Linked DNA regions of Diceros bicornis minor. The protein of the gene in region 1 purifies or fractionates together with the protein of each later gene. This does not show direct contact. Links are inferred from orthologs where the notes say so. Each region holds a gene or a part of one and is shown on either strand. Other genes may lie near its edges.

Region 1 (7,168 bases):
GGAGGAAGATAGGTACAGATGTTAGCCCAGGGCCTGTCTTCCTCAGCAAAAACAGGAGCATTGGCATGGACGTTAGCTCAGGGCTGATCTTCCTCACAAAAAAAAGTAAATAAATAAAGACCCTTGTGATCACATTGGGCCCACCTGGATGATCCAGGCTACTGGCTCCATCTCAAGATTCTTAACATAATCACATCTGATAAGGTCCTTTTGACATGTAAGGTAACATCTTTATAGGACTGGGTGGTTAGGACGTGGCTGTCTTTGGGAGGTCATTATTCTGTCTACCATAGTTTGCCTCTATAGTATTTAATGGTGTGGTTGCAGTAACACTGATACATGATTGCCTTCAGTTAGCGTTGTAGCAGAAGTAGTCCCCACAGGAAGTCTTTGTGACCTTCTCTCCCCAAGGCTATGAAAGCTCCACAGAGAGGATGTGCTTCCATTTTCTCAAGCTGGAGACCAGGCTGCATTCCACACTGGGCTGCTGTGTGCCTTCCTGAAGCTAGCGTTCCCCATACTCAGGATTATTGCCTTAGCATAGGTCCCAGGAGCAGGTTTATGATTCTTACTACACATTGCCTAATTGCTTTCCAGATTGTATCAGTTTATACAACCTCTCCTGATCGTTTGGCTTTCATAAAAAAAAAAAGTTCTCTTTATAGTAAAGATATATTCTCATTAAAGGACATATGGGAAATCCAGAAAGAGCAAAAGGAAAAAAATCACTCATAGTTCCATAAATTGAAACACAACTTTCACTAATACTTTCTTTCCAATATTTCTGTGTGGATGTATATAAAATTAAAAAAAAACATGGATATGATATTGGAACTTCTTGGAACTATTTTAGATCTAGGACACTTCATGCTTTTGGATATGCAGGAGAAAAATTTTTATTGTGTTTATCTTGGGATGGTTTCCATTCTGTTTTCCTGGTTGACTTTTGTTCTCCACGTCACCCAGAACCTGGAGGCCTGGCCAGGTCCTTCCCTGTGTGATGAGTGTCAGCGCACAATGTGGGGACTATGGCCTGGGATTCTTGATCACGAATCCTCAATCCTGACTCCTCTTAACCAGACTCTAGTCTAGAAATTGGTTAGAAAGGTTAGGTTTTATGACAATTCAGCTTTATAATCCAATTCATAGATGCTGGTTACAAGCAGAATGTTTTTCACTTTAAAAATTAATTTATGTAAATTACATCTTCCATTTCTACTTTCATAGACCTCATCTTCAGGTTCTGATTATTTGGCAAAGACAGTAAAGAGGTACAGGGACCTCTGGCCCTGAAAAGAGAAGGGTGGGAAGTGTTTCAACATAGGTTCTTAGGAAGGTGATTGGCTGCTTTCCATCTTGCTAAATATCTATAGTAGAAGCCCTATGGCTGTAAGTTAGATATAAGAAGGAACTTCCCTAAATGAAATATTCTTACACTGGTCACCCACTCCAATACTAAAAATAAAAGAAAAATCTCAGTTTTCCTGGATGTTGTACATTGTTCTGCTTGAAGAGAGGAGGTGAACTGAGTAAGGACCTGGAAGGAAACCTAATCAGAACTGGACAAAGTAAAAAGTGAATTTTTCAGCACAGACAGCTGCAAAGCACAGGGAGTTGCCTGAGGCATGGCTAGATCCCAGAGCATGATGTCCCTAGGACCTAATCTCTGTCTCTCTTTTGGGGGCTGGCTTCATTTTCAGGAAAGCGGTTAGGTGTTTCAATAGCCCCAGGATTTCTGACTGGGTCTCATTGGCCCATCCCTGTAGCCAGGGGAGTGCAATGCTCTGATTGGTCAGGCCAAGCCACAGGGCCACCCCAAGAATGGCCCTGGAGTCAGGGATGGAGACAGTTCCATCAAAGCTTGTGGACTGAGAGGAGGAGGAGAAGAGTCATTCCCCCAAAGAAAAACTATTAGACCTGACATGGGTTTCTTAGGTCAAATTTGCAAGAGGACCTGATTGGCTGGTCTTGGGCCAGTGTCCACCCCAGGCCAATCAGCTGTGGCAGACAGAGTGGCCGTTTGGCTGGGGGTGGGGTTGGTAAGCCTGGTATGACAAGCTGCCTTTGCTCAGCTCTTGCCTTAGGGTTGTGGTGCTGAGGGGTCAACACTAGGGCCTGAGGGCTTCCATGTCCCACCGGATTTCTTCACTGTTTTCTGAGTGCTTACTTGTTAAGTGTCCCATTTTAAACTCACAACAGCCCTCTGAAGTTGAAGCTGTTAGGCCTGTTGCCCAGGGTAACACAGCCAGTAAGTGACTCAAGGGGGCTGAGGTGATGAATCTGAAAGCAGCATCTAGGGGAGCCCCAGAAGGGACTCAGAGCAGGTGGGGCATGGGGAACTCTCCCCAGGTGGAGGGTCCTGAAAGGGGGGGTGGCAGGAAGGTGTGGAGGGGAGGGAGCACCTCAGACATTTGGTCTAAGTGCCACTTGGTTCTCACTGACCCAGGGCGCAGCATCTGATTCTAGCTTGTATGAGGTTTCTGGAGCCCCATCTTCCCGCAGAGCCACCTGGTCCTGCCCTGCCTCCCTGAGGTCCTGTCCTCCAAACTCTGCCTCACTGCACTCATGGGTGACGCAGTGGCTTTCCCTGCCTGACCCTCTCCTGGAGTGGGCTGGGGCCTTTGTGTGCAGCGTGAGGACCACCAGGTTGGGAAGCCTGGAGTCCCCAGTCAGCCATAGAACAGCTCAGGGGCCTGGGGAGAGTTCTAGCTTCGGTCCTCCACTCTCCAGGACCTCAAGGGATTTAGGGGCTCCTCCTCACATTTTCAGTCAGATCTGAGCCCCCAAAGGGCCCAGAGCACTCTGCCCGCACTGCCTGAATAAGCTCCCTTCTTCTCAGCACCCCGCCCCCACTGAAACACCAGTTGCCACTTTCCCATTTAAGCTGCCGCCTCTTTCCAGCAGTCTGTCTTGATTGCCTCTTCGCTCGCCCCACTTGCCTACTGCTTTAATTTGTGCCGCCGCTGGTTGTGAGCCAGTGTCCTGGCGCCTCCTCCACGGGGTCTTAGCCGCCTCAAGCCTTGGAGAACGTTTGTTGGCCGAAGGCGAAGGATGTGCAGAATCTTCATCCAGCCACGAATTTATTAATTCTCGAAGTCGGCTTGGAGTGGGCCTCACGCGCGATGCCAGAGACACCCAGTGAAGGAGACCACCCGTTTAGGCCTAGCAGGGAGACTCCACACGCTTTAACCCAGCTCCGCGGGAGGCAGGCCCTCGGCCGGTGGGAACCTGCGTTACCTCGGCCCGCCGGGAGACCCAGCAGAGGACGTTGTTGCAAAACGCAATTTACTTTTTTTACTTCTCAAAAACTCCGAAAATGGCTGCTAGTAGCTTCGCTACGGGGCAAACTGTCTGCTAATCTGGAATGCAAACTCGGCGCACAGGGAGGTTTTCCTGGTGCTTCGCCCCCGGCCATCGCGGGGCTCTGCAAGCCGCGCGCGGCGTGAAGAAGGATCGGAGGCTCCGGAAACACTGTGTCGGGAACCAGGAGCCAGGAGCCGAGGAGCAACAGTCGTGGCCGCCGCTCTGCATCCGCGCCGCCTCGGGCGCCCCGGCCCCGAGCCGGGCCTGGGACTGCCCCACGGGCTCGGAGCCCGATTTGACAGCCCGCGCGGGCTTTGCTGGGGGACTCGGGGATCACCTCGTCCACCCAGGCTTAGGCCCTGGGCCAGCGCCACCCGCCACATAAACTCCCCCAGCAGGGGAGGGTTGTTTTCCAGCCCCGAGGCCGAGCAGGAGGCCCAGGACCCCGCGTGTCTTCTCTGAGCGCAGGGGACCCCGGGCCACCGCTCAGCTAACCGAAAGAGGCCCCCTCCTCGCCGAAGGCTTCAACCGGGCGGGATTTCCAGCAAAGGCCGGACACGCGTGTCCCTGCGCACGCACACATCGTGCGCACGTCAGCCCCCGTCGCCCCGTGCCCGGGCGCACGCAGGCACTCCCGGGCCCCCGCACACGCCCGTGGGCACACGCGTCCGCTGCGGGCACTAAGGAGCCCGGGGAGGTAAGAGCGCAGTTCCGGAGCAGGAAGCGGCCCGGGGCCCGGCCTGGGCGGTGTCCCGGGCGGGCCCTGGGGGTGGAGCTTGCCGGGCCGGGCGCGCTGGGTCGGGGCGGGTCCGCGCCGCCGCCGTCCGCGCCGCCCCGCCCTCGGCCCCGCCGCTCTCTCGGCTCCTCGCGCTGCAGCCCCCGCCGTAGCCGCCGCCGAGCCCGCCGCCGCCTCCTCCAAGGTAGGCGCAGGAGACGGGCCCGGGCTTTGCCTGCGTCCCAGGCCGCAGGCCGGGCTCCTGGGGAGCTGAGGGGGAGGAGATGAGGGAGGAGCGGGCGAGGGCGAGGGGCCCCGGGCCGGGCCCGAGGGGGGAGCGGGAGCGGCTCACGCGGGCTGCTTGGTCAGCGGAGGGCCGAGCAGGCCGCGCGGGCGGGCGGGCGGGCGGGCGGCGAGCGGGCCCGGGCGGGAGAGCGGGAGGACGGACATCCGGAGGCGCCTGGGGCTGGGGGCCAGAGCCCGCGGGGACCTGCGGGCGGAAGGGCACGGGCCGCCGCGTGGAGGCCGGGCCGGCTGCAGATCTAGGTGACCTTCCCCGGCGGTGCCCTCAGGCCCTCGGTCCCGCCAGCGCCGGTCAGGCAGGGACTTTCCCGCTACCCACGCTCGCCCGGCCGGGCCTGGCCCTCGGACCTGTGCGGGCCACACCGTCCCGGTGGGGATGAGCTCATGTGACCACCGTGGCCCTGCGCCCCCAGCCGCGCACGTCCTGTCCGGCCTGCCCGGTCCACGCCCGGAGAAGCTGGCGCCCGGCACTGTCCGCGCGTGCCAGCGCCTTCCGGGGCGGAACGGCAGGCCGAGAGCCGACTTAGGCCGCAGGGGCCTGGGCTGGGGCCTGGGCAAGAGGTTAGGCCTTGGCGAAGGGGGCCCCTCTGGGAGCGCCTTGGCCTCCTTGGCCTTTGGAAGTATTCCCAGTTTGATCGTTCATTCATTTACTAAATGTGGTGGTGCGCTCATGAAACTGGTCCAGAGCCCTCTGGATTTGAGGCCGCAGCCCTAGTGACTGTCCAAGGTCACGCAGCTGGGAAGATACTAAACCTCAGTTTTCTCATCTGTAGAGCGGGAGCAATTATACCTCTTCCTCACTGGGTTTTAGGAAAAATAAAATGACTTGATTAACGCGAAGCTTTTAGAACAGTGCCTGGCAAGGAGCAGGCCTCTGTAGAAACCTTGGCATGCACCCTTGAGGCTTTGGGGAGGGTCTAGCCCATCCCCTGCACACCGTTTTGCTCCACGTGGTGTTCTGGAAAGAGTTCAGTAAACGTAGCCCTGTTATTTTAAACATTATTATTAAGCATTTGTGTGCCAGGCGTTGAGTAACTTGCAGATAATTCGTGAAAAATCCTTTAAGTTCACAGACAGACAAGGTCAGGCTGGAGCAGGAGGTTGAGTGTGAGTGCAGACCTGGGCTAGGCCTGGGCCTGTACCACCTGAGGCCCGCATCCCCTTGACCAGCTTCCCCTCTCCAGAGAAGAGAAGGAAGTGGGCTCCTCCTTTGCCTAATATGCTGTTGACAAGGCCGGGGCCGACTGCCGAGGGCCTGCCTCCTTTCTCTCCACCCAGCTCTGGACTGACCCTCTGGACAGGGTCAGGCTTAAGCCCTCTGCAGCTTTGTTTTCAGTGCCTGGGGTAGAGCCACCTGGCCCACAGTAGGTACTTAAAGGGTCTTTGGGGGTAAATGCACTCTTGCTTTTTGTCCAAGAGTCGACTCTTATTGACAGAAAGGTAGTTTTACCATTCCAGCATGTGGCTTATAGTAGGTGCCCATTAAGTGTTTGTGAATGATTGGATGGGCATGTGAAGTGGCGGCAGGCCTGGGCCATGGTCCCTTCATCCTGGACATCCTTCTTGAGGGACACACGCATCTCACTCACTTCCAGAAAATAATAGCCTTACGTAGCGGAGAATCCCAAATATTTAAGAGCTGCAATGGTATGTGCAGCCCTAGAGCAGTGAGAGGCAAACTGTTTCCTAATTTGAAATAACTGCTTTAAACACATTATCTTCATTCTGTGGCTTTCCAAGTCCTGTGGGGAACTTGTTGAACTGGTGTTTCTGGGCTTGCAGGGGAGGTGACATGGGCGAATGGGATTCTCTTAAAGGCCTTGGGCCTGGCGCCTCTTCCGTCTCTGATGGTGGGTGGGTTGATGGCTTCTGCTGGAGTTGTCCTGAGCAGGTTTACAGGAGGACTGTAAATGGGGATGGGGACGGGGGACTGCTCTCAGTTGGTTACTTAGTTTTATTCCTGCTGTTCTATAGGCTATAGGCAGGGGCTATTTGTAGACACAAACCCAGGGGCTCAGGGGGACCATATGGTGAGGAATTGCCTGTGGGCCTCTGGTCCTGCTGGACATTATGCAGATGTGGACCACGACCTCCAAGCTGGTGGTAATGAGGGCCCTTCACCCCCACCTTTACTGGTTAGATACTCCTGAGGCACTGAAGTCCACTTTACCCTGGATGGACTTTCTCACTGTGTGATGTCCTTGGTGGTCGTGACTGAGAGAGGCGTGTGTGGGGCTGAGAGCCAGCCCAAGCCTGCAGGCTGCCCCTCAGGGTGCCTAGAGGGCCTGTAGCCTTGGGCTCCCCACACACTCCTCTGGTAGTCCCTGAAGAAAGGTGACCAGTGGGATCCTCAGCGGGGCCTGGGCACAATCCTCCATTTCACTGCTTGCTCTCAGGGGGGTGGGGGTGAGTGGGCACTTACACCCTTTACCCAGAACTGTGCTGGAAAGAGTCCTGGAGAGCAGATGGAGCTTGCAACACAGCTCTGACATGAGCCGTAGGGTCTAGTACAGGTCACGTTGCTTTCTTGTTCCTCAGTTTCTCCACTATAGAGGTGTGATTGTCATCATGACAGTCATTCTTTATTGAGGGCCTGCTCAGCACACTCCTGGGGGCTTGACGTGTTGTGTGACATTGAATCCACCTTCCTACAAGCCTGGGGAGAGGGGTGCTATTGTTTCCATTTCAGGGGTTAGGAGGCTTGAGCACGGAGGGGTGAGGTAAGCACCCCAAGGTCACACAGCTCAGTGGGAGTGGAATTGGGATTCAGGGCTGGGTCTGGCTAGCTCCAGTGCTGGTGCTTTCACACTGCAGCTGCCACTCCACGGGGCCATGGCAAGGAGCTAA
Region 2 (7,504 bases), on another chromosome or scaffold:
GGAGAGTGCTAGAAGAGAAGACCAAATCCTGGCTCTTAATTTCAGGATCCAGTGTAAAACACTTGGGGAACAACTAAAGAATCCTCTATAATTGTTTTATTTACAAAGACTGCTATTAATAAGAGCAAATTATTTAAGTGGCAGTTGTGTTAAAGGGATGCTGAGGAAAAGACTGAGGATTTGACCCTGTGTAGTTTATAATAGCCCCCAGGACAGGCATCAAGTAAATGTGACTTTTCTAAATTTCCGGAGGCAAGACCCAAGGTCTTCAAAAATCATTAACAGAAGAAAGTATGTTTAGAAGAGTACTAAAGAGTCTTAAAAGTAAATTAAGAAGTAGAAAATGGAATGTGGGAGGAAAAGTTACAAAGGGTTCAGAATTATTTAGCTGACAGATTTTTTTTGGGGGGGTGGGAGGGGTGAGGAAGATTGGCCCTGAACTAACATCTGTGCCCATCTTCCTCTATTTTGTATGTGGGACGCCGCCACAGCATGGCTTGATGAGCAGCGTGTAGGTCCGTGCCTGGGATCTGAACCTGCAAACCCTGGACCGCTGAAGTGGAGTGTGTGAACATAAACACTATGCCACCAGGCCAGGCCGGGTCCTAGCTGACAGATTTTGATGGTTAGTGGTGTGCCTAGAACTGTGCTTTTAAAGTGGGAGATAATATGTCTGTTGCTGGACAGGAAAAAATAGATTTGCAATGGTGGGATAGACATTGGGCTAGGAGGAACTTTGGGATGGTGAGACGAGTTGGCTTTAATGCAGTAAGAATGGGGCAGCTAAGTGACTTTCCGGGGTACCTAAGAAATAGTAAAGATAAAGATGCATGCTTAAGATTGTTTCCATAGTAGCTCTAGGGCAAGCTGGAGCAAAGACTTCTGTCCTTCTAGATCCTTAGCTCATTGATCTCCCAAATTTTTACTTCTTATGGAAAATGCTAACTTGGTGTAGGCTCCAATTCATATTCTAAAGCCCTTAATTGCAATGGCGTGTTTATTCAATTCAGCAAGTACTTACTCAAAGTGCTAGGATTCTTGGCTCAAAATACTGACTTGCATCATATTTTTCATACATCTGCTGACTCTATTCACAATGAATGGCCCAACCCTCCATGCTTGTGTCAAATCCTCCTCGAAGCCATCCACACTTGGCAGCCGTGGGGTCTGTAAATGCTGAGTCTCTGGGTCAATCAGTTTAATTGTGCCCCAAGCTAGGAGCTTAAAAAGAAAGCTGATGGGATAAGAGGCAGATAGATCGGAGAGGCAGAACTTGCCCCATCCTGTCTTCTGGAAGTTCTGTTTATCCCCTGCACTGTGCTGGATGTTCGAAAAGGTGCACAAAAGTTCTACCACTCTCCTAGAACTATCTGGTGCCAATCACTCTCTGGGCCTGTTTCTTCATTGTAAAATGAGCAGTGTTTGATCTCTCAAGTTCCATTCAGAAGCCTCTCCCAAGAGGAGGAAACAAGTCTTTCCCAAGAAAAGGGCTTTTCCCACTTTGGTCTCCTATGTTCCAAGGGAATGCTCTTGCATCTGAGATTTCTGCACCCCAGGCCTGGTGATGCCGTCCCTTTGTCTTAATTCCACAGGCCTGTCCAGGGCTCCATATTACAACCAGGCAGGGATTCTTTCCATCACTCTTTCCCACAAAAGTTTGCAACTCCTGCTTCTTTACCATATTTTTTCTCTTCACCTCTTACAATTAGCCTTCAAGTCATGGCAATAACCTTTACCCCTGAAAACACCCCTGAAGACTGCCCAGAAGTGCAGAGACCATAGCACTTGGGCGCAGTGCTAAGAGAAAGCATCAACTTTAGAGGATCAATACCAAGGCCCTTTCTGATATTCTGAAATGTTTTTGTTGAATTCTGTTTTTTTCAATAGGATTGAAACATAAAATGGCATTATCAAATACCTTAAAAATGGAATGGGATTTGCCTCTGGAGGTGGGATCAGGTGGGTCAGAATAGGGGTGGGGGAAGTGTTTGTAGATCCATATAGGGCATTTCTATAAAATAATGGTTCTCTGCCTGACGATGACACACACAATAGACTGATGAAGAGTGGAAATAGAAAGGCTCTAGCTGAGGTCTTCTTGGTTATAAAAGAGGAGAGCCATGTGGAAACCCTCTGTATTTGTGAGGACAGCAATGTTAATAGCAATTGCTATTCTCCCACCAAAACTTTCTTGGTGCCATGCTCAGAGACCAAACTTCAGAGCTAGGAAGATGGTTCCTGTTTTGTAATTTTGAGGCCAGACTCCCCCAGTCACTGGTTGAGTCCCTGAGTCTCCAGTTTCCCACTCGGTAAAATGCAGCTGAAGCCCTTTACCTTCCCGACTTGTGAGAATCCAAGAGGATTTTATATGTAAAAGTGCTAAGTGGAGGCAAAGGCAAATACAGATTTTAGTTAATATTTCTTATACTTCTGTGTCTCTTCCTTACTCTGGAACATAGCTAGAACTTTCAGGTCCTCCTGGAAGGACCTTCAGCAATCGTCAGCTGCCAGGTAAACAGCTCTAGAGACAAAGGGAAATGCCTTGATCTATCTGGTTATATTTTTGAATGAAAAAATGATAATTTTACTTATGAAGGGAAAAAAAGGGGATCACCTGGCAGGAGAAATCGACATTGTTCAGACTTTTGCTTTCTACATTTTGTTGCTGTTCTTGCTGCACTTTTCCTGTTCAGACCAGGGCCCAAGGGATGATTAATCTTAAACAAGCTAAGGGACCTTTGGCAAGCGAAAGCCTCCTACAGGTTAGCAGTAACAGGGGCTGTACCAGCATATAAAAAAAGCATTTTCTAGACCATTGGGGATAGAGCCCTGATAACACTCTACAAATGCCTTCTGTTGAATTAGCAGTGGTGGGCACTCTGCTCTGGAGTTGGGGGCTCTTTCTCCAGCAGTCACAAATTCGAATCCAGTTTCCAATTCCTCTGCTCTTCATGGCCTGGACTGATTTAATCAAGCCTGAAGATGGCTGGAGGAGGCACCAGCCTCTAACAATGGGTTCTTGGACAAGAGGAAGACACACATGTAAGAAACAGTTTCTTCTAAAAAGGAATAAAAATCACCCTAATGTTCTAACTGACAACACAGTTGCTAGTTTTCCCTCCTTCCTTTTCTTTCCTGCCTTCTTTCCTTCCTTTTTTCCTTCCTTCCCCATTTCTTTCAAGCTTCACATCTTTATTTGTTCATGTTAAATTAATAGAGTTGATAGGGCCAGCTTTAAGTTGCTTAGGAAGTTATTTTCCTTATTTCTTGTAGGAATTCCCAGAGACTTGGAGCGACTTTCTCAGAGACGTGGAGCGAATCTTATGTTTTCCCAAAGTATACTTGACTTCCTGAAAGCAAGCAATAATAGTAATACTTAGCTTTCTAAATGTTGGAGACCTTCAGCCACTTGCAGCCTCTGCTAAGAAACATAAACTACAATGGGAGGCAAGACCCACAGCGCAGCCGGGCCAGGGCTCTCTGGGGGATTCCTGGCCTTGTCATCACACTCCAGGCCCAGGTCCCTCAGAGCACCCAATTCTGCGCTGAAAGAGGCGCTGCTGTGCGAGTGGGAGGCATGGAGAAGCACCAGACAGGTCCTCAAACCTCTCTCCTTCGAGTCTGTCCCTTTTGTTCAAGATACGCATTCCTTTACATTTCAAGTGTTCCTCCCCTAAAAAGCGAATCCCCAAACTGGACAAGCAGGTTTCATTCTCACTGTAGCTTCAATGAATTCATTGGACACCCTTTGGATTGTCATTTGGGGTCTTGAAGGAAAGCAGGGGGGCGCTTGGGACCTCGGGCAAGGCTCAGACCCATTCCTCCTGGGGCCGAGCGGGAAGTGGGTAACGCGGATCCCAGACTGGAGGAGGCATTCGGGAGGGCACCAAGAGGCTGGGGAGGCCATCTGCAGGTGGGCACGGGGCCTGGACTCTGCAGGAAGGCGGAGTCCCTCAGGCGGGCGCCGGCTGCAGTCAAGCCCGAAGCCCCCCACCCCCAACCCCGGCGCGTCCTTTAGTCGCAGAGGAGCTCCCTGATGCACTAGAAAGGCCCCTCAGAGCGAGGTTTCTGTTCTGGGTCCGCGGAGATTCGGGGAGCCCCGTTCCGAAAACGTATCCGCACCCACTGCGGACCTTCCGTGCCCTACAAAGCAGGCCGGTCACGCCGAGCGGCGGGAGGAGGGGCGCGGCAGCTCCACGGCCGCCGAGGCCCCGCTGCCCAGCCAGTCGGTGCGCCCCGCAGTGGCGTGGCCGGGGCCTCCCGGGCCGTGGGCACTCGCGCCCCGGGCCCGGCGCCCTCCTGCCGGGAGCCCAGACCAGCGGCAGCCAGCCCGGGGATGGGGTTGGGGCGGGGGCGGAGCCAGGCCGGCGGCCGGTGTCAGGTTGCTCCGGCAACGGTGACGTGCCGCGGCGTGGGCGGGGCCAGCACGCAGGTTGCATATTTTAGGAAGCGAGGCGGAGGCGCGGGCTCGAGCTGCGGCGGGGTCTGGGGCGCAGAGCAGCGGCGGGAGGAGGCGGACACGTGGCAGTGGCAGTGGTAGCAACCCCGGCGGCGGCGGCGGCGGCAGTAGCAGCGGCGGCATCGGCCCGAGCCGCCGGCCGTCCTCCCTCCTTCCCGCCCCACAGCAGCCCTCGCTCCCTCCTCTCGGCTCCCCCGGCCGGGCTCGCTCGGCCGGGAGCTCTCTCCTCTTTTCTCTCTCATTCTCAAGCGACAGGACCCGGCGCCGGGCACAGACCACCGCCACCATGGGGAAGGGGGTGAGTGTCCGGCGAGCCGGGGAGGGGGCGCAGGGAGTCCTGGAGGGGAGGAGGAGAAAGAGGAGGAAGTCAGGAGGGCGACTGCAGCCAGCGGGAGGCGGGGAAGGAGGAAGCGGCGCGGCGCGGAATGGGTTGGCAGAGCGGCGAGGCTTAAAAGACGACGCACTTTGGAAATGGAGGGAGCGCAGTAATGGGGGACGGGCGGGCGGGGGCAGGGAGCGCCGAGGGGACGGAGGACGGCAGCGCGGGGCGGTGCGCAGCCCCGGGAGAGGGGCTGCGGGCCCCCGGGTCGCAGCGCGCCGCGGCCCGGGGCTCCTGGAGGCGGCGCTCGGGAGCCGCAGGGCCGGGAGGAGGGCGAACGGCCGCCGGCGGCCGCATCCCGAGCCCGGCTCCCCTCCCTCCGCCCGCTCTCACCTCCCATCTCTCGCCTTCCTTTTTCCCTCCGCCTTCCGTGCCCGGACGAAAGGCGTGCTCCTCCCCTTCCCCTGGGGCGCTCAGCCCGGCCCCCTCCCGGGCCGCCGTTCCCGCCGCGGCCCGGGCTTCCGACGCGGGGGCGGCCTTGGGGTCCGAGGCTCCTTCTCCTGCAGGCGCGGGGGCTTAGCCAGTTCCCCCGTAGAGGCGGCCGCCCTCCCTCCAAGGCAAAAATTAGTTTCCCCTTACTGCGGAGCCGGTTGGGCGGGCTGGTGCCAGAAAGGGTGTGTCTTCACTGCCCTAAGATGGCCTTTAAGGTATACTTTTGAGAGCTTTGATGGAACGCTGGCCATAAACACAGGATGCGCCCGGGCGACTGGAGCGGTCATTCTGGCGGTGGGGAGGGGTGTGTAAATTTTTTGGAAGGATGAGCCTGGAAGGAAGACAGGCTAGCCCCCCAGGGCCTCTGGGTACAATAAACCCGAAAAAGGACTGGAGGTGGCGGGCAGTACGCGGTGGTAAGAGTGCCAGCTCGCGGAAGACGGTTCCCGAAGGAACGAGGGGTCTCCGGGACAGGAGAGTGCAGGAGCGCTGTGGGAATACCAGAACAACATCTCGTTCCTACAGTTCTGTAACTCGGAGCTGTGATAACCCATAGCCAAGGCAGAAGACTGAGTCCCGGACCCCACCGGGGCCAACGTCTAGTTGAGAAAAGTTTATACAAAATAATCCCCAAAGTATCAATTCGTGGGGTAAAATGACGGGGCCATGAGAATACCGGTAAGAGAGAATCCACTCCATTATTATCACCAACTCTTGCACAGTGCCTGGTGCTTAGTAGGCCTTTGAAGGCTCTTAGGGCTCCTCAAGGTGGAGTGAGTGATGGGGAAGAGGGAGGGTTCATTCTTTGGGGACTCCAAATGGATTTTGAAGGAGGTACTTGAAAGGCTTGGACCTGGTGGGGAGAGAGGAAAAAGTGGGAATGTATGACTGGTATCTTTTAAAAGCACAAAATGTGGAGGGAGGGCTGGCCCAGGTCAAGTAGCTGAAGGCAAAGAGCTGAGTGCCAGCCTCTGTACTCCCCAGGATGGAAACTGGGTTAGTGGCCTGTGCTTGTACCACTGTGTCAAACACTAGATCATTCTCCTAAACTAGCTCTTTAAAGCTCATTCCTTTATTTCTCCCCCTTCAGAAAAAAAAAAGTTTGTTTCCAGAGCTGGACCTTACTGATTTGGGGGGATGTAGAGATCACAGGTATGTACCCAAGGCCTAGGAAGGTGAAGTGACTCGCTGAAGGTCAAATGGTTAGTTAATGACACACCAGACGTCCCTAACCAGCCTGTGATTTCCCCAGCCTGAGCACTCACGCACTCCTTGACGTTGCCTTATGTGGAGAACTCTCAAGTTATTCTTCAGATGAAACTGGGGTATTTGTGAGGTTGAATTAATGGACCAGAGAGATGTTTGAGTAAGTTATGTGTATGTGTCTGTTATGTCTCTTTCGTAACCACATACATGCATAGTAGTGGTAAAGATAGCAACACACCTGGGTTGTGGAGGTTCAACCAAGATGTCTAATGGATCCTAATAAAATGTTCAGTGGCTAGCAAACACAAAATTGAATGACAGCTGGGTAACACGGGATGCTATGCTGCTTATCTGCTGGGTTGTAGTCAGTATTTTGGGTACTATGATAAATTGAACGTTAAGGGGTATGTGTGTATAAGTGGTGGTGATTCTCCCAGGATAAAGTTACCCCTTTTGTCCCCAGTGACTTACTGTGATAGTCCAAATGTTCAGAAGGATATTTTATGCTGAGATGTTGGTATTTTTCCACATGGGGATTAAAATGTGGGTGGAGTGGTGACTAAGGCCCTGCTGATAATTGGTTAACGAGGAAGCCTGTGCTGGCAGCTCATTTTTAAGGTCATTGTTAATTTCTTCCCCTCCTCTTCCCACTATCATTGGGGGCCTAGGTTTTAATGATATTTCAGGTGATTTTATTTCTCCTTAAAAATCTAGTTTCTAAGCTTTGGGTAAGAAATTGAAAGAACAGCTCCTGCTGAATCATTCCTGGATGAAATAGGATTTTGTCCTTTTTTTCATAGTGGGTGTTTTTGCCAATGACTTGGCTTAAATCCACAGCCAGGCCTACCACCCACAACTATTTCCCTCACCAAAGGTACACACGAAAACTTTTCCTTTTCTTAAGTTTACAAAAGATGGGGGGCGGGGGGAGGACGGGGGCATGTCACCAGGTCCTTCCCTTTAGTTCTCCATTGTTTGAATATTAACTTAGTTACTTAGAAAATAAATCATAGTTTATGGGTAGTGAC
Region 3 (7,492 bases), on another chromosome or scaffold:
CCCAAAATTTATAGACTATAAGGAGTGACATTCGGACATTATGGTTTTAGGCAGACACTCCGATTTAACTGACACACATTAATATCATATGGAACAAATCTGAATGGCACGCCATAACTGGATGAACCCAGAATGTTTTGGCTTCCGTAAGTGTCCCAAGCAAGAGGTATGAAGTGGGAGGATCTTTTGTGATTCTTTATGCTGTGCACATGCCCTATTTCCCCTGCTTTGAAGCACTCTCATGTTTAACCTTCATTTAGTTCTAAAGATGTCTACCTATGTTACAACTTTACTTTTTAAGTACTATTTGAGTACAAAATGACCATGAGCTGGTCCAAACTCTCTTTAGGTATACAGCCTGCTCTACTGAAGATACAATTTTTGCAAATGAAAAGATAAAGAAAGTTCTGAATCAGCTGTATGTTCTGGAAAATTGCATCATGTCCTGAGAAATCCTCAGGAGATTATTTGAAAACTAGAAACGTATCAAATATAGTGCATGGAAAACCACAGAGATGGTGGATTACCATTATCTACTATGATCATACAGCACTGTTAGCAAAAGCTGGAGAAGGCAGTGGAGGAGGGAGTCAGTGAGGTTGCTAGATGAATGATTTATCATCCAAAGAAATTACAGACAGCTTGAAAGAATTTTAAGGAGTGTATAATGTAAGAATTCAGGAAGAAGTAGCATCTGCTAATTCTTCTTTTTCAGTGTATATAGTTCAATTTACGGCCATTGGTCTCCTATTATAAAATAGTTCCACTTTAGAGAATGTGGAACACCAGCAAAAAGAAATGCATTTTCCCCCAATCTGAAGACAGAAAAATCAGACTCTTTTCCCAAATTTCTTATTTCTATTTTCTTAAATGCTACTTTTTAAAAAGGTTTAATTTCCAAAAATTTAGGGTATTTTACTGATACCCTGAACAATTACAATAATTTCACTATGATTTTAATTAAGCCTAATGTTTAGTTAATGTTAATGTGCTAACCTCCCTGAAACAAAAACTGTAACAATAACAAATTGTTTTTAAAAGCACTTTTAAAAGCTTTCAATAACCAAAACACAACCAAGGAAATGCCTCTTTATGGTTCTGTAAAGGCAAAGGTATTTTTCTCTCTTTCCAAATTAATTCTGTGGAGTGTGAAACATTAAGATGGTTTTAATTTCTGAATTTAAAAGGCAATTAAGTGAATGGGAAGCGAAAGGGCAGAAGAAGCAGGCAAGACATCAGACACTCAGAGATGGAATCAGTGAAAATGCTTTCCACAGTGTAACACTGATGTCTGATGAATATTCATAACCTACTCATCTAAAACCAACATTCCAAAGGGATTAAGGTCAGGACTATGACCTTTATTTGCTGATTGATGTTCCAATTTGGGCCCCTAGGAGTAAGTGTGTCAGACTGAGAGAGAGCTCCTATTTAAAACAATTCTTTGTTGAAAGATCTTCAAATTGTCTTACAGGATGTTAAAAAAAGTTATTTCTCAATATTGACAGGTTACGTTAATGCACAGCAAGATGGGAAGGAAGGAAGGAGAGCTGATGTTTGCTGAGCACCACTGCATGCATGCCAGGAACCCTCCTGCAGAGCTCACTAAGACCATGTCCATTCGTCTACCATCACGTTTTGGCACTTTCCACACTGCCAACTTGGTGCAGGGCAGGCACCCAACATAAATGTCTGCTGAGTGATTAAGAAATGGTACACCCTACCATGCAACTAAGATGACTTCTTCATTCCCATGAATACTCTTTTCCGATATTAGAAAAAAAACTCTAACTTGACATCACATTTAAACACCTCATTACTCTGAAAGTCTTGTCTGTTATAAATTCCTTGCTTAATGAAAAAACAACCTATTTCAATTAATGCTTTATAGTCCCTTCACAGAAAATAGGATACAAAAATCTAGTTTAGTGCTGTAGCTCCTTAGAATTCTCCCTAACCATAAAACTGGGGAATGGCTACACACAGCCTATAATTAATAATCCCCTTAGCGCTGTGTCTGAAATTCTCCCACACTGTCTAGTTTAGAACATTTCATCCCATTATATGGTATCAGCCACCCACCAACTTTTATCTGCTTATTCCTAGGGCTTCTAATATGCATTTTTTTTCGGGAACCCACGTTTAAAATCTTTAAAAGTGACATGGCAGTTAACAGATGACACTTAAGAGTCCACCTCTCTCCTCCTCGGGGCCTTGGGACAACTTCATGACCTTGCAGGGTTACTCCTTCAGCACAGTGGTTTCAAGACAGTGCTAGGTGTCTTTCCTTCCTCTCCAGAAGACAGATTTTTAAGGGATTTTTAAAGTCCCTTTTGCAGCCCACGAGGGCACTTATTTTATTCCCGTGTCCAGCAAAGCGCCTGCTACATCCTCGGCGCTGACCACACGTTCTGGAGGAATCGAGCGGCTCCTGAAGGGTTCCTCCGCTCTGCGCTGGGCCCTTTCAAACTCTGCCCAGCACCGGAGGGTTTCAACGGGCGTCAAGGACATAAGGCACAACTTAACCTTCCCCTAGACCTTGGTCCTCCCCTCCCCCTCACTTCGGGCCCAGGTGAAGACTCCCCATCCTCGCTGCCTGGCACTAAGCACTATTAGCTGAACGAATCCAAGACGGCCCTGAAATTAATTCGGACTAAGGTCTCAACCCCGAGGTCCGGTGACCAGCCCTCGTGGCCCTCACCCCGCCCCGTCTCAGGGACGTGGCGTGACCCCGCTGCCCCTCCAGCCCCTCCGCGCGCCCGGCCCGGCCCCTCCGCGCTTCCGGCAGCCCCGGCCTCCCGGGGCCTCCTCGGGACTGCGGGCCTGGCCGGCCCTGCGACCCCCGTTCCGCCCCACTCACCTCCACCCGCTTCCCCTTCCCCCTGACCGAGCTCTTCCATCCCTCCGGCTCCTACCGCAAGCTGCCATACCATTGCGGCTGCACGGCCCAGGCCGAGAGGCCAGCGACGCCCGCCCGAGAGAACATGGTGCTACCGGCCCTGCTGAAGGTCGGTCAGACAGGCCTCACTGCGCATGCGCGGAGGCTTCCCGGCACGCCCCTAGCGCCCCGCTGTCCCCTGCAGTCTCGCTGCCTCCCGCCAGACGGGGGGAAGCCTCGCGAGCGTTGGGGCCCAGCCTACCGAGGCCCCGCCTCCTTCCGACTCGCGGACGGTATTTGTCCCGCCCACCGCCGCCAGCCCCGTTCCGCTTCCGGTTGGCAGGGCGCTGGGCTCCGCAAAGTTGTTGCTGCGGTGGTCGCGATGGGGAAGTCGGATTTTCTTACCCCTAAGGCCATCGCCAACAGGATCAAGTCCAAGGGGCTTCAGAAGCTGCGCTGGTATTGCCAGATGTGCCAGAAGCAGTGCCGGGACGAGGTAAGTGGGCCCCGCTGGCCCCATGGCGGCGCCCCGTCCTCTCCCAGGAGGGGCCCGCTGATCCAGGCCAAGTCCCTGAGGCGGGGGAGAGGGCCAGGGTCCCAGGTCCCCGTCGTGGGGTCTGCACCGGGCGAGTCTGCTGCTCAACTCAGTAGGGCCATCCTTCCCTGCCGCCCCGGTCCTGGCTGGGAACCAGGGCTCTTTGACAGCTCATTCTTCCCCAGTCTACCCCAAAAAGAAATGGAACAAGAAAAGGTTTTGCAGCTCTCGCAGAAGTGATCCTACTCAAGCTGTCTTAAAAGGGAGGCGTGAATAATTAAGTGCGGGCTCCGGGGCAGTAACAGTAACAATCATCTCTGACTGGACGTGACTCTGAGAGTTGATTAGGATTCACACCTCTTTTTGGGATCAGATGAAGAAGAACTAAGCTCGTGCACACCCGTCATCTAACAAGCATTTATTGAGCACCTACAGTGTGGCAGGCCCAGAGTATTGTGGTGAAGATGCGGACTTGGGGATCAGACCGTCAGAAGTGTGAAGCCTAGCCGCGCCACTTACTAGCTGTGTGGTCTTGGGCAAGTTACTTACCTTCTCTCTGCTTGTTTACTATTCTGCAAAGTGGGAATAATGACTGTGCCTACTTGTAACTTTGTCGTGAGTTTTAAATGAGTGAATTATGTGTAAAGTGACTCAGGGGGTCTTTGGGCAGATCTTGAGAAGCTTTGTATGCTGTGCTATGGAGTTTACACTTTTTCCCATTTTTAAGGTGGATGGTGAAGCACCTTGAGTAATTGAGAGCAGGCTAGTGATGGGATCATATTTTTCCCTGGAGATTGAGTTGGGTGGGGGCAGAAGAACGCTGGGCAACCGGAATAATCTAATCCAGTGTGTCTGCAAGTGAGGGATGAGATATTTTAGGTGGGACTCACATTGAATAACATTGGTACACTTATTCTCTTTCATTTGTCTTTAGTTCTTTCTAGATGAAATTCTCACGCAGAAAACTAGAGACTAGTACAATGAACATCCATGTATCCACTACCCAGGATTTTATCCACTACCCACTACTTAACATTTTAAGGATTTTGCTGTATTTACTTTTTTCTGAATTATTTGATTGATTTATTTATTTTTTATAAATGTGTTCATTTCCCTTATTTTCTTTTTTTTTTAAGATTTTATTTATTTATTTATTTTCCCCCTAAAGCCCCAGTAGATAGTTGTATGTCATAGCTGCACATCCTTATAGTTGCTGTATGTGGGACGCGGCCTCAGCATGGCTGGAGAAGCAGTGCGTCGGTGCGCGCCCGGGATCCGAACCCGGGCCGCCAGCAGCGGAGCGCGCGCACTTAACCGCTAAGCCACGAGGTGGCCCTTTCTGAATTATTTTAAAGTAAATTTCAAACATCAGGATATTTCACTTCTAAATACTTAAATATGCTTCCCTAAGATATCAGGGTGTTTTTCTACATAGCCACAATATATGTCATCAGACATTACAAAATTAATAAAAAATCCTTTATATCATCTGATAGACACGCCATATTCATATGTCCTCAGTTGTTCCCCCAAATGCTCTTTAAAGCAGTTTTTTAAAAACAGGATCCAGTCAAAAGCTATGAATTGGATTTGGTTATTAGGACTTTTTAAAAAATAGACTTTATTTATTTACAGCAGTTTTAGGTTCACAGCAAAAATGGGCAGAAAGTACAGAGATTTCCCATACAGACCCTGCCCCCATAGATGTGTACAGCCTCCCCCACCATCAACATCCTGCAGCAAAGTGGGACATTTGTTACAGTCAATGAAGCTACATTGACACCTCCTTATCACCAAAGTCCATAGCTGACATTAGGGTTCACTCTTGGTGTTGTACATTCTATGAGTTTAGACAAATGTATAATGATGCGTATCCACCATTATTGTATCATACAGAGTGGTTTCACTGTCCTAAAAATCTCTGTGCTCCAGGTTATTAGGACTTCTAATTCTCTCTAAATTATTGGAATAGAACCTACCTCCCCTACCCTCTGCCCCCCTCCCCCTATTTTTTTTCTTGACGTTGACTTGGAGGGATGAGTCCAGTCAGTTATCCTGGAGCATTCCCACTTTCTGGATATGTTGAATTGTTTCCTTGTGATTCTCTTTTGCCCTCTTTCTCTAACTCTTGTAGTTTCTATAAACTGGAACTTAGATCTAAAGGCTTGATTAGATTCAGGTTAAATATTTTGGGGAAGAATGCTTCATAGGTGATCCAGTGTATTTCATATTGCATCACATAAGGAAGCCCCTAATGTCTAGTAGTGCTAAGATGATTAAGTAAAGATAACAACCTGTAAAGTAACATTAGAAAGTAGTATTTTCCCTCTTGCAAGAGCAAGAAACTAGTGGGGTAGTACTTTGAAATCATGCCCCTATATCTAATTTCCCATCAACATTTTGCCTATGTGTTTAGCATCCTTTCCTGAGTCACTTATTTCATTAGGAGTTGCAAAGTGGTTACTTTTCTAATTCTTTTGACATTTATTATTGGCGGCCATTCATTTGTAAAAATGAGCTTTTTCTCATCAACTGGGGCTATGGGTTACCCTCAAATGTTATCCCAAAATACGATTCCTGTGGGAAAGGGAAGATAAATGCTTAATTCTTTCCTTTAACTACCAGCTTTCAGAGCAAGGCACTTGTGGTTGCGGCCTGTTTGCCCTCAGATGTGTTCATGGCCCTTCCCTACCCAGGAGGGCATCCTGGGGGAAGAGAAGTTGACCCCTATAAATTCCTTCCCGTCTTCTATGTCTCAGTATCGGAAGACTGAGGGAGAGAGGAAGGTCAGATCCAGGGTATTCTCCTCCTGCTCATCCACTCCTTTGGATTTCTAGAATTTAATAACATTATTTTGTTTCATTTTATTGACTTATTTTTAATTTATGGAAAATGGGACTGGTTTTTCACTTAGGACACCGGTACCAAGTTTCTTTTTAATATAAGTGTAAGTAAGAGTAATGCACAGGTAGTATACAGATGAGGCGAAAAGAATGTAAGTGGTCTGTGGATGATTAAACATTAGGAAACAAAGCAAGATCCAGTGCTGAAATCTGGACGGTGGCAGTGGGATTGAGCAGAGGGACTGGATAAGGGTTATTAAGAAGGCTGGGTAGACTTAGTGCTGAGGGCAGTGTGGAGGTGCAGAAGAAGGCTTCGAGGATGCTGTCCTCCGCCCTGGCTTGAGTGATTGCATTTGTGATAATGCTGTTCACTGAGGTGGGGAATACAGGAGGAGAGACACATTTTTCATTTCTATTACCAGTGAAGAATCAGGTTGAAATGTTAAGTAGAACAAATACAAGGTCAAAACTTGTATGTTTTTCACAATCATCCGAAGAAGAAGATACAGATTTAGTATGTTTAACCTAAGGTTTATGTAATGTGCAACAATGTATTTTGGATAATGCACTCAAGTAGGGGAAAGTGAGTGAAAAATAGTTTCCTTAATGGAAATTCACTAATGACCCATTTTACTTCATTATATTCCTCGAAGCACCTGCGTAACACTCTGTGTGAAGTAGGGGCTCAATAAGAATTTGTTAAATTGACCAAAAAAAATGAAATCTCTTTTCTGTTACTGAGCCCAGTAATGTTTCTCACTAATGTCTCCTTTCTAAAGCACTATTTTTCTGTCTCTTTAATCTCTAGGTTATTCTTTGATTAGCAGAGTTGCAAATTCAACTTCATAAAAATTTTTTTAAGAACCATAGAGTGCTTACAGCTAGTGATTTGATTATTGTTATTATTTTTTTTTTTTTACAATTTATCATCAAAGAGCAGCTGTTTAGGGTTTGATTAAGTACTTCTATTTAGGACCCATTATGATGACGTAAATCAGAATTTAACTACTGTCTTTACATTTTTGTAGAATGGCTTTAAGTGTCATTGTATGTCCGAATCTCATCAGAGACAACTATTGCTGGCTTCCGAAAATCCTCAGCAGTTTATGGATTATTTTTCAGAGTAAGTAACTCAAAGACATCCTTATCTCATAAGCTTCATTCAGTTGGATGTTTAATAGATACTTAATATTCTCTGTATTGGAGGCTCTGTTTATTCCTTATGTATTAGCGTGA
Region 4 (7,333 bases), on another chromosome or scaffold:
CACTGGGATCACCACACAGACACTTGCCGCTACAGGTAACGTTATATCTGTGATGTGGAAACACCGCTGGGACAAGGCCAGCGGGGGTCACAATGGAAAAGGCTTGGAACAACGCCCTCCAGCCCCCTCGGCCCCGCCCACCTCGGGGAGCACCCCCCAGAATCTACAGGGAGCCTCCACCCCCAGAGCCGGGAGCAGGGCGGGCGCCTGGCCCTCCGCCACCCTGGAGACGTGAGAACTCGACTCGGGCCACATGACCAGAGCCCACGTTCTCAGTAAAGTCACCTTCATCTAAAAACAGCCACCCCTCCCGTGTGTCCGCTCGGGGCAGGGCCGGGCTTGGGCAGGAGGCCTCGTGGCAAACAGCCCCGGAGCGCTCAGGACGGCCGTCGGGCGCCCCTCCACCCCACCCGCCGCAGAGCGGGAGCCCAGACGGGAGGGGACGCCAGCCAGGCTCTTCCCCTCCATGCCTCACCTGAGGACCAGAGAGACCACGGCACCGGCCCGCAGGACCCAGCTAGCAAACCGCTGCCCGCCCCAGCAGGACGACGGCACCCTGGACAGGCCCGGGCAGGGCCAGGGTCTCCCGGCAGGGCGTGAGAAGCCGAGTGCCAGCCTCTCGGCACCCGATGCTCGAATGGAGGAAACCGCCCCTGGCAGAGGCCCCGAAGAAAGCTCCTAGGACTGACCCGTCCAGGAGAGGCGAACACTCCACTAAGCCCCTCACCCACCCCGGGAGAAGAGGCCGGCACCCCGACTCTCAGATCCCCCCTGAAGCCCCTGGGAACGGTGGAGCCGTCACAGGGAGAAGGGGAGGCCCGGGCGCAGCCCTGGGAGAAGCAGGAGGCCCGAGGCCTTCCCACCCGCTGGGCCATCGAGGGCCTCGTCCAGAGGGCTGAGGGGCCTATCTCCCGCGCGCACCTTGCCCGCAGGCTCCTATCTGCCCGCAGGCTCCTATCTGCCCGCAGGCTCCTATCTGCAGGCAGACAGCGGGCAGGCTGGCCGCAGGCCAAAGGCCCCGGCCCGGAGGCGGTCAATAAATGGTCATTCTGATCATAAGGAAGGAGGCGTGGACCGAGACCTTAAAGTGGGTCAGGGGTAACCGGGTGAAGCGTGTGCCACAGCAGCCCCTCCCAGCCCTGCTCGGGACAGCCGCCGGAGCCCGGACCCTTCTGGGCTGCACTTTGTCCCCTCCACGCCGGGCACCATAAATCTTTAACCCAGAACCGCAGAACGAGTCTCGGCACAGGAAGGAGTCATCCCTCTCCGTCGTGCTTTCTTCTGGAAAAACGGTCTTATCACACGTTCCCAGCCGCTTCCTCCACACCAGACGTCTGGCCGCCCCCACCTCGGCCCACGCCCGTGAGGGCCCGGGGCCCAGCCCGCCTGAGTCTGCAAGCAGCCCTCTGCGCTCCGGCAGCACACGGCGACCTTGAACATCTCCCCTCTCGACCCAGGCTCAGTTTCCACGCCGCAACAAGAGTAAGGGGCACCAACACCACCTCGTTCTGGGCCCCGAAATCAGACAAGACCAGAAGAAGCAGAGCGTGCGGGCCCCTGCAAGGGGTCAGTGTTGGGGCGGACACGGGGCAGGTCCCAGCGCGGCCCACGGGACCTAATCCCGGGAGGAATGACAATCCCTTCCAGCTCCCGGGAGCGGCCGCTTCCTGAGCATGTGGCTCCTGCACCCACTTGGGGACAATACCCACTTTCCAAATGAGAGCCAAAAGCCCCGGGGTGGGGGTGGGGCTCTCCACTGCACCCCTCCCCAACACTCCCAGGGCAGGGGCCCCACTCCCTAGCTGCCTCCCCAGGCCACCAGGCTCCAGCTGCTCAAGGACGGGGGGTGGGGGGGGGTGGGGGGGGGTGTCCCTTCCCTGGAGAGATGCGTGGGGGTGCCTCCAGATCCTCTCCCCAGGAGTCCTCATCAGGGGGTCAGGCCAGTTCAGGGCTCCTCCCCTCCCCCAATCAAGAAAATCAGACTTCACTCCAGTTCTTCCCTAGTCAGGCCCGTGGGGCCCCCTAAGCACAGATATCCCCCTAGCACTGCGCCCAAGGAGCCCCCGGGGTCCCCCCAAACCCCAGGGAGCCCACCCAGCACTGCTCCCCCCAGAACTTTCCGCAGCCTCTCCTGAGCCCCCTCAAACCCTGGGACCCCCTGCAACACCCCAAGTCCCCCCGAACCACGGGAACCCACAACACTGCGACACCCAGAACTGCCCCCAAGCCCCCCACAGTACCTCAGTGGGCACCCCCACATCCACACTACCACTCCTGGGATCTTTCTGGTCCCCTCAAAACCCAGAATTCCCCCAGAACTGCCACACCGGGTAACCCGCTGGGTCCTCCCAAACCACAGAAACTCCCCCGGCACTGGGATCCCCCGGAACCCGCTTGAGCCCCCCAAACCACGGGGACGCCCACATGCCGCCCCCGGGGAACCCGCCGCGTGCCCCCACTCCCCGGCCACCCCCTGCACTGCCGCCCCCGGGCATTCCTCGGGTCCCCACAAACCCCGGGACCACCCCCCACACTGCTGACCCCGGGAACCCCCCAGGTCCCCACAAACCCCGAGGACCCCCCGGCATGCCGTTCCCGGGAACCCCTCGGGTCCCCACGAACGCCGGGGAACCCCCCCGTATGCCGCCCGTGGGATCTCCCCGGGTCCTCCCAAACCCCGGGGACCCCCTCCATGCCGCTCCCGGAAACCCCCCGGGTCCCCCCAAACCCCAGGGACCCCCTCCCCAACTGCCGCCCCCGGGAACTCTCAGGGTCCCCCCAAACCCCGGGAAGCCCCCCGCATGCCGCCCCCGGGAATCTCCCGAGTCCCCACAAACCGCGGGGACCACCCGGACTCCGCAGGCCCCGAGCCCGCCTCCCCGCACCCGCTGGCCTCACCTTGCCCGGAGCCACCCTCGCCGCCCAGCAGCACGAGCCCCAACACGACCACCAGAGCGGCCGCCATGTCACCGCCGTCCCCGCCGCAACCGCCGCCGGCGGCGCTATAAGAACCGGGCGGCCGGCCGGGCGCGCGCACGCAGGGCGGCGCCGGGGGCGGGGCGGGGTGCGCAGGCACGTCGGCCGCCGTCTGCGCACGCGCACGGGTGCACGTACGCACGCGCTGGCCCGGGCAGGCTCGCGCTACGGAAGCCGGGGCGGCAGCACCACGTGACCCGGGCAGGCCACGCCCCGCGGCCTGGGGCGTGGCCGCGTTGCTAGGAAACAGGGGGGGCCCGCGCGGGCGGGGCTGGGAGCCTGGTTTCCCTTCGTTCTTTCGGAAACGTTGTTGGAACGGAGCTGTGCACCCAAAAGGGGCTAAAATGCTCCATTTATACTATGTGTGTTCTGTCACGACACGAAAGAGAAAGAAGCATTAGAGGAGGCGATAGAGATCCCTGTGAACAGGTGCACGTGTGCCCTGGGGCGGGGGGCTGCCAGATTTAGCAAAAAAAACACCCGGACGCAGTTAAGTTTTAAGTTTAAGACAGAGAACGAGTGACTTCTTAGTGTAAGTACCCGTGCAATATTGGGACATACTTATTCAAGGGAAGTATGGCTATTTATCTGAAATTCAGGTGTAACCGGCTGTCCTATATTTGCCTGGAAGACCTACCCTGGGGTTTGTCTTACAACAAATACTTTAAAAAACGACAATTTCAAGCAAAAACAGGATCATGTAATCTTCGTGACCCTGGGCTAGGCAGTGGTTTCTTAGACGTGACACCAAAAGCGCAAGCAACAAAGGAAAAAATAAATAGGACTTCATCAACATTACAAACTTTTGTGCCTCAAAGAATACTAAGAAGAAAGTGAAAAGCCAACACACAGAACGGGAGAAAATATCGGTGAATCGTATCTGATAGGGACTTATATCTATAATACATAAAGAACGCTGACAACTGGATAAAAAAAAAGACGCACGACCCTGTTAAAAAACGGACGAAGGATCAGAATATACGCTTCTCCAAAGAAGACACAGAAACGGACGACAAGTACATGAAGAAGGGCTCAGCATCCTGAGCCATCAGGGGAATGCAAACCACAACCACAGTGAGACAGCAGTTCACACCCGCTGGGACAGCTCGCAGCGAGAACGCGGAAGACAGCAAGTGCTGGTGAGAAGTGGAGACACCGGAGCCCTGTGCACAGGTGGCGGGATGGAAGATGGTGCAGCCCCTGCGCAGAACATGGGCAGGGCCTCAGAAGGGTAAACCAGAGTTACCATCTGACCTGGTAATTCCACTCCCCACAAGAACTGAAAATCCACGTCCACGTGGAAACTTGTACGTAAGTGTTCACAGCAGCATGATTCGTAACGGCCAAAAAGCAGAACAGCCCAAATGCCCATCGATGGATGAATGGATCCACACAACGGATCCATCCACACACTCGAATACGACACAGCCATCAAAAGGAGTGAAGCCCTGACACAGCTATACTGTGGACGGACCTTGAACACACGATGCTCAGTGAGAGAACCAGACACAGAAGACCACACGGTGTGTGATTCCATTGATGTGAAACGTCCAGAACAGGCACATCCACAGACAGAGAGTGGGTTCATGGTTGCCAGGGGCTGGGGGATATGGGTGAGGAGTTACTGCTGATTGGGTGGGATTGCTTTCTAGGGTGATGAAAATGTTCTGAAATTGAATGTGGTGATGGGTGCACAACTCTGAAATGTACTAAACCCACTGAGCTACAGACTTTACTTGTGTGAATTGTATGGTGTGTGAATTATCTCAATTAAATATAGGGTAATGTGCTTTAGATAAGGGGTCAGGGACGCGAAGACATACAAGGTGACAAGAACAAGGAAACAGTGGCCACAGTAAGGGGTGAGCGGTGTGTCTGGGAACAGCCTGTCTGGCCCGGGGAGGCAGGTCCAGGGAGGAGGGTGGGCAGAGCCGGCAGAGTCCCAGCTTTGGGGGGCTTTGGAGGAAAACGTGGGAAGGATGTGGCAGAGGGGCCGGGACTTGCTGATGAAGGGGTTGTGGGTGAGGACCTCACTCCTGGGGCCTGGAGCCTCAGAACCGCCCGGGAGCCAACCAGAAGCCCCAGCCCCAGGCCCATCCGGCTTGTTGAGGCCGCACGCAGGGGGGTTGAGAGCTACGTGCAGAATGGGGGAGGAAGGCCGCCAGCTGGCTTCAAAGCCCCTGGCCTGGGCAGGATTTCTGGCCCCCGCCCCGCCCTCGCTGGGCTGGGCTGCGGACAGATCTCATGGGAAATATCAGGGCTGCCGGGAAGCCTTTGTTTACGGAACAAAGCTGTGCCTCCTTGAAGACCCAGTTTTCTGTCCCCCTCCCCGATCCCCGCTCTGTTCTGTCCTGGCCTCACCCTGGGGCAGGCGGCTCCCTGTCCCCCTCTGCCTCCACGGAGAGGCCAGCCAGGGCCACGCGGGCTGGGTGGCCAGATTTACCAAACGGAAATACAGGACACCCAGTTACATTTGAAGTTCAGATAAAAAAAAAAAAAAATCAGTACCTTTTTAAGTTATCAGTAGGTCCCACGCAGTATCTGGGATATACTGATCCCCAAAATTGCCTGTCCTACGTCTGAAATTCAAATGTAACTGAATTTGGCGTCTTCCATCGGCATCTCTGACCCGGTCCCCTCACCCTTGTAACTCCCCTCATCGCACAGGTCACTCTCTGACCTCACGTCCATCCCGGGCCCCTTGCCTGCTGTCCGCCTGCCCGTGTGCAGGGCAGGGACAGCCAGCCTGGCCTGGGCCCTGTGCCGGGCCGCCATCTGCCCCCTGCGGGTGCCCCTAATTGGCTGTGGGCGAGTGGACATCCAGGACCCTCGCTGTCTCCCACCCTGGCCTCCGGGGCCTGCACCCCCTCTGGGAGGGCCCGGATTTCAGATCTGGCGGCTTCCTCTGACAGCAGGAGAAGGAGGCAGCTGTCTCCTCTGGCCTGGATCTCCCTCGTTCCAGCAGCTCTTGCAATCGAGGCCGAACCCCTCCCTCGGCCTCGCCCCCACTGACCCCTTCGGCCTCGGCGCCCTCCACCCACCACGCCTTTGGCCCCAGCCTCACTGGCAGTGTTTCCTGCCTCTGAGCCTTTGCCCAGGCTGTGCCCTTTCCAGGTCACTGCCTCGCCCCTTCCCTCCCTGGCAGAGGCCGTCTTGTCCCGAGGGCCTCACACTTGAGACACCGGCCGCTGTCCCATCGCTGGGTATCTGCCCTGGTTTGCTCACCTTGTGCTTTTTCTTATAAAACCTTTCAACTCACAGATGGGAGGAGAGACGACGACGTAGGATTTTCATTCTCTGTCACACCTCTGTCCCTTGCTCGAATGTTCCAGCTAGTTCTCCAGGCGTATTCTTCTGGGAGCTTGGAGATGCAGCCCGGCCCCAGGCGGTGACGGCTGGGAGAAGGTGGATTTCATTCCTGGGCCCCAGGGAGCCCGGGGAGGGATGTGAGCAGGGAGGGTCGTCCTCTCCTCTGACCTGTGTCATCGGGGGATGTCTCGGCCGCCAGGGGAGAGGCCCTGGGGGTGGGAGTGGACATGGGCAGGGGACAACAAGGCAGCTCCCAGACCCTGTGAATGGGACTTTATTTGGAAAAAGGGTCTTTGCAGATGTAATTAAGAGTCTTGATATGAAGTCCTCGTGGATAAGGGTGGCCCTAAATCCAATGACAACGTCCTTATAAGAGACAGAAGAGGAGCGACAGACACAGAGAAGCCATGTGATGACAGAGGCCGAGACTGGGGTGATGCGGCCACAAGCCCAGGACGCCGGGGCCCCCAGAGGCTGGACGAAGCAGGAAGGACCCTCCCCTGGAGCCTCTGGAGGGAGCCCGGCCCTGCCACACCGTGATCTTGGATTTCTGCCCCCAGAACCATGAGGGTGTAATTTCTGTTGTCTTAAGCCACCCAGTTGTGCTGTTTTGTTACGGCCCAGGAGTGCCCGCAGGCGGGGACCCGGGAGACACCCGGCCAGCCAGCCTGGCACTGGCGTTAAGGGCGGGCGCGTCCGTCCACCGAGTGCCACCACCACCGCCGCCCTGCGAGGGGGTCACGGGAGCCACCGCCCTCCCCACCCCCGTCCATCACCGGTATCTTCCCCAGAAAATGCAGACAGTCCCTCTAGATGAGCCTTTGGGCTTTGGACTTCTGCGCCCGTGGGTTTGTAGTCTTTTCTAGCGATGCACTCCAAAAAATAAAGATAAGACAAGACAAAGATAAATCCGTATAAGAAAGGAAGATAACCAGTCTTTCCCCAGCCTGGTCCACCAGGCTGATAACCGAGGGTTTCTTTTCGTTGACGGTTATTCATGAGTGTCAGGGACCCTTGTCGACCTCTGGTCGCTGAGCTGTAGGATTTC

Evidence for each region.
Region 2: the proteins of VDAC1 (region 1) and ATP1A1 fractionate together in Homo sapiens (co-fractionation; 3 studies listed by BioGRID, with this or other methods). This does not show direct contact. The link is inferred for Diceros bicornis minor from reciprocal best matches to the Homo sapiens genes VDAC1 and ATP1A1.
Region 3: the proteins of VDAC1 (region 1) and ATP5F1C fractionate together in Homo sapiens (co-fractionation; 3 studies listed by BioGRID, with this or other methods). This does not show direct contact. The link is inferred for Diceros bicornis minor from reciprocal best matches to the Homo sapiens genes VDAC1 and ATP5F1C.
Region 4: the proteins of VDAC1 (region 1) and BSG purify together in Homo sapiens (affinity purification with mass spectrometry; 3 studies listed by BioGRID, with this or other methods). This does not show direct contact. The link is inferred for Diceros bicornis minor from reciprocal best matches to the Homo sapiens genes VDAC1 and BSG.

Annotation. Positions count from the first base shown.
Region 1 is NC_080740.1:53,195,608-53,202,775, reverse strand, and holds the start of VDAC1 (voltage-dependent anion-selective channel protein 1), read left to right. Parts: upstream 1-4,149; 5' UTR 4,150-4,223; intron 4,224-7,168. UniProt on the Homo sapiens protein: Non-selective voltage-gated ion channel that mediates the transport of anions and cations through the mitochondrion outer membrane and plasma membrane.
Region 2 is NC_080743.1:48,793,588-48,801,091, forward strand, and holds the start of ATP1A1 (sodium/potassium-transporting ATPase subunit alpha-1), read left to right. Parts: upstream 1-4,494; 5' UTR 4,495-4,745; coding exon 4,746-4,757; intron 4,758-7,504. UniProt on the Homo sapiens protein: This is the catalytic component of the active enzyme, which catalyzes the hydrolysis of ATP coupled with the exchange of sodium and potassium ions across the plasma membrane.
Region 3 is NC_080775.1:8,838,413-8,845,904, reverse strand, and holds the start of ATP5F1C (ATP synthase subunit gamma, mitochondrial), read right to left. Parts: upstream 3,011-7,492; 5' UTR 2,987-3,010; coding exon 2,916-2,986; intron 2,884-2,915; exon of another isoform or gene 2,861-2,883; intron 1-2,860. Other genes in the region: KIN (DNA/RNA-binding protein KIN17), read left to right, coding at 3,261-3,374, 7,285-7,379.
Region 4 is NW_026691553.1:241,567-248,899, reverse strand, and holds the start of BSG (basigin), read right to left. Parts: upstream 3,001-7,333; 5' UTR 2,966-3,000; coding exon 2,899-2,965; intron 1-2,898.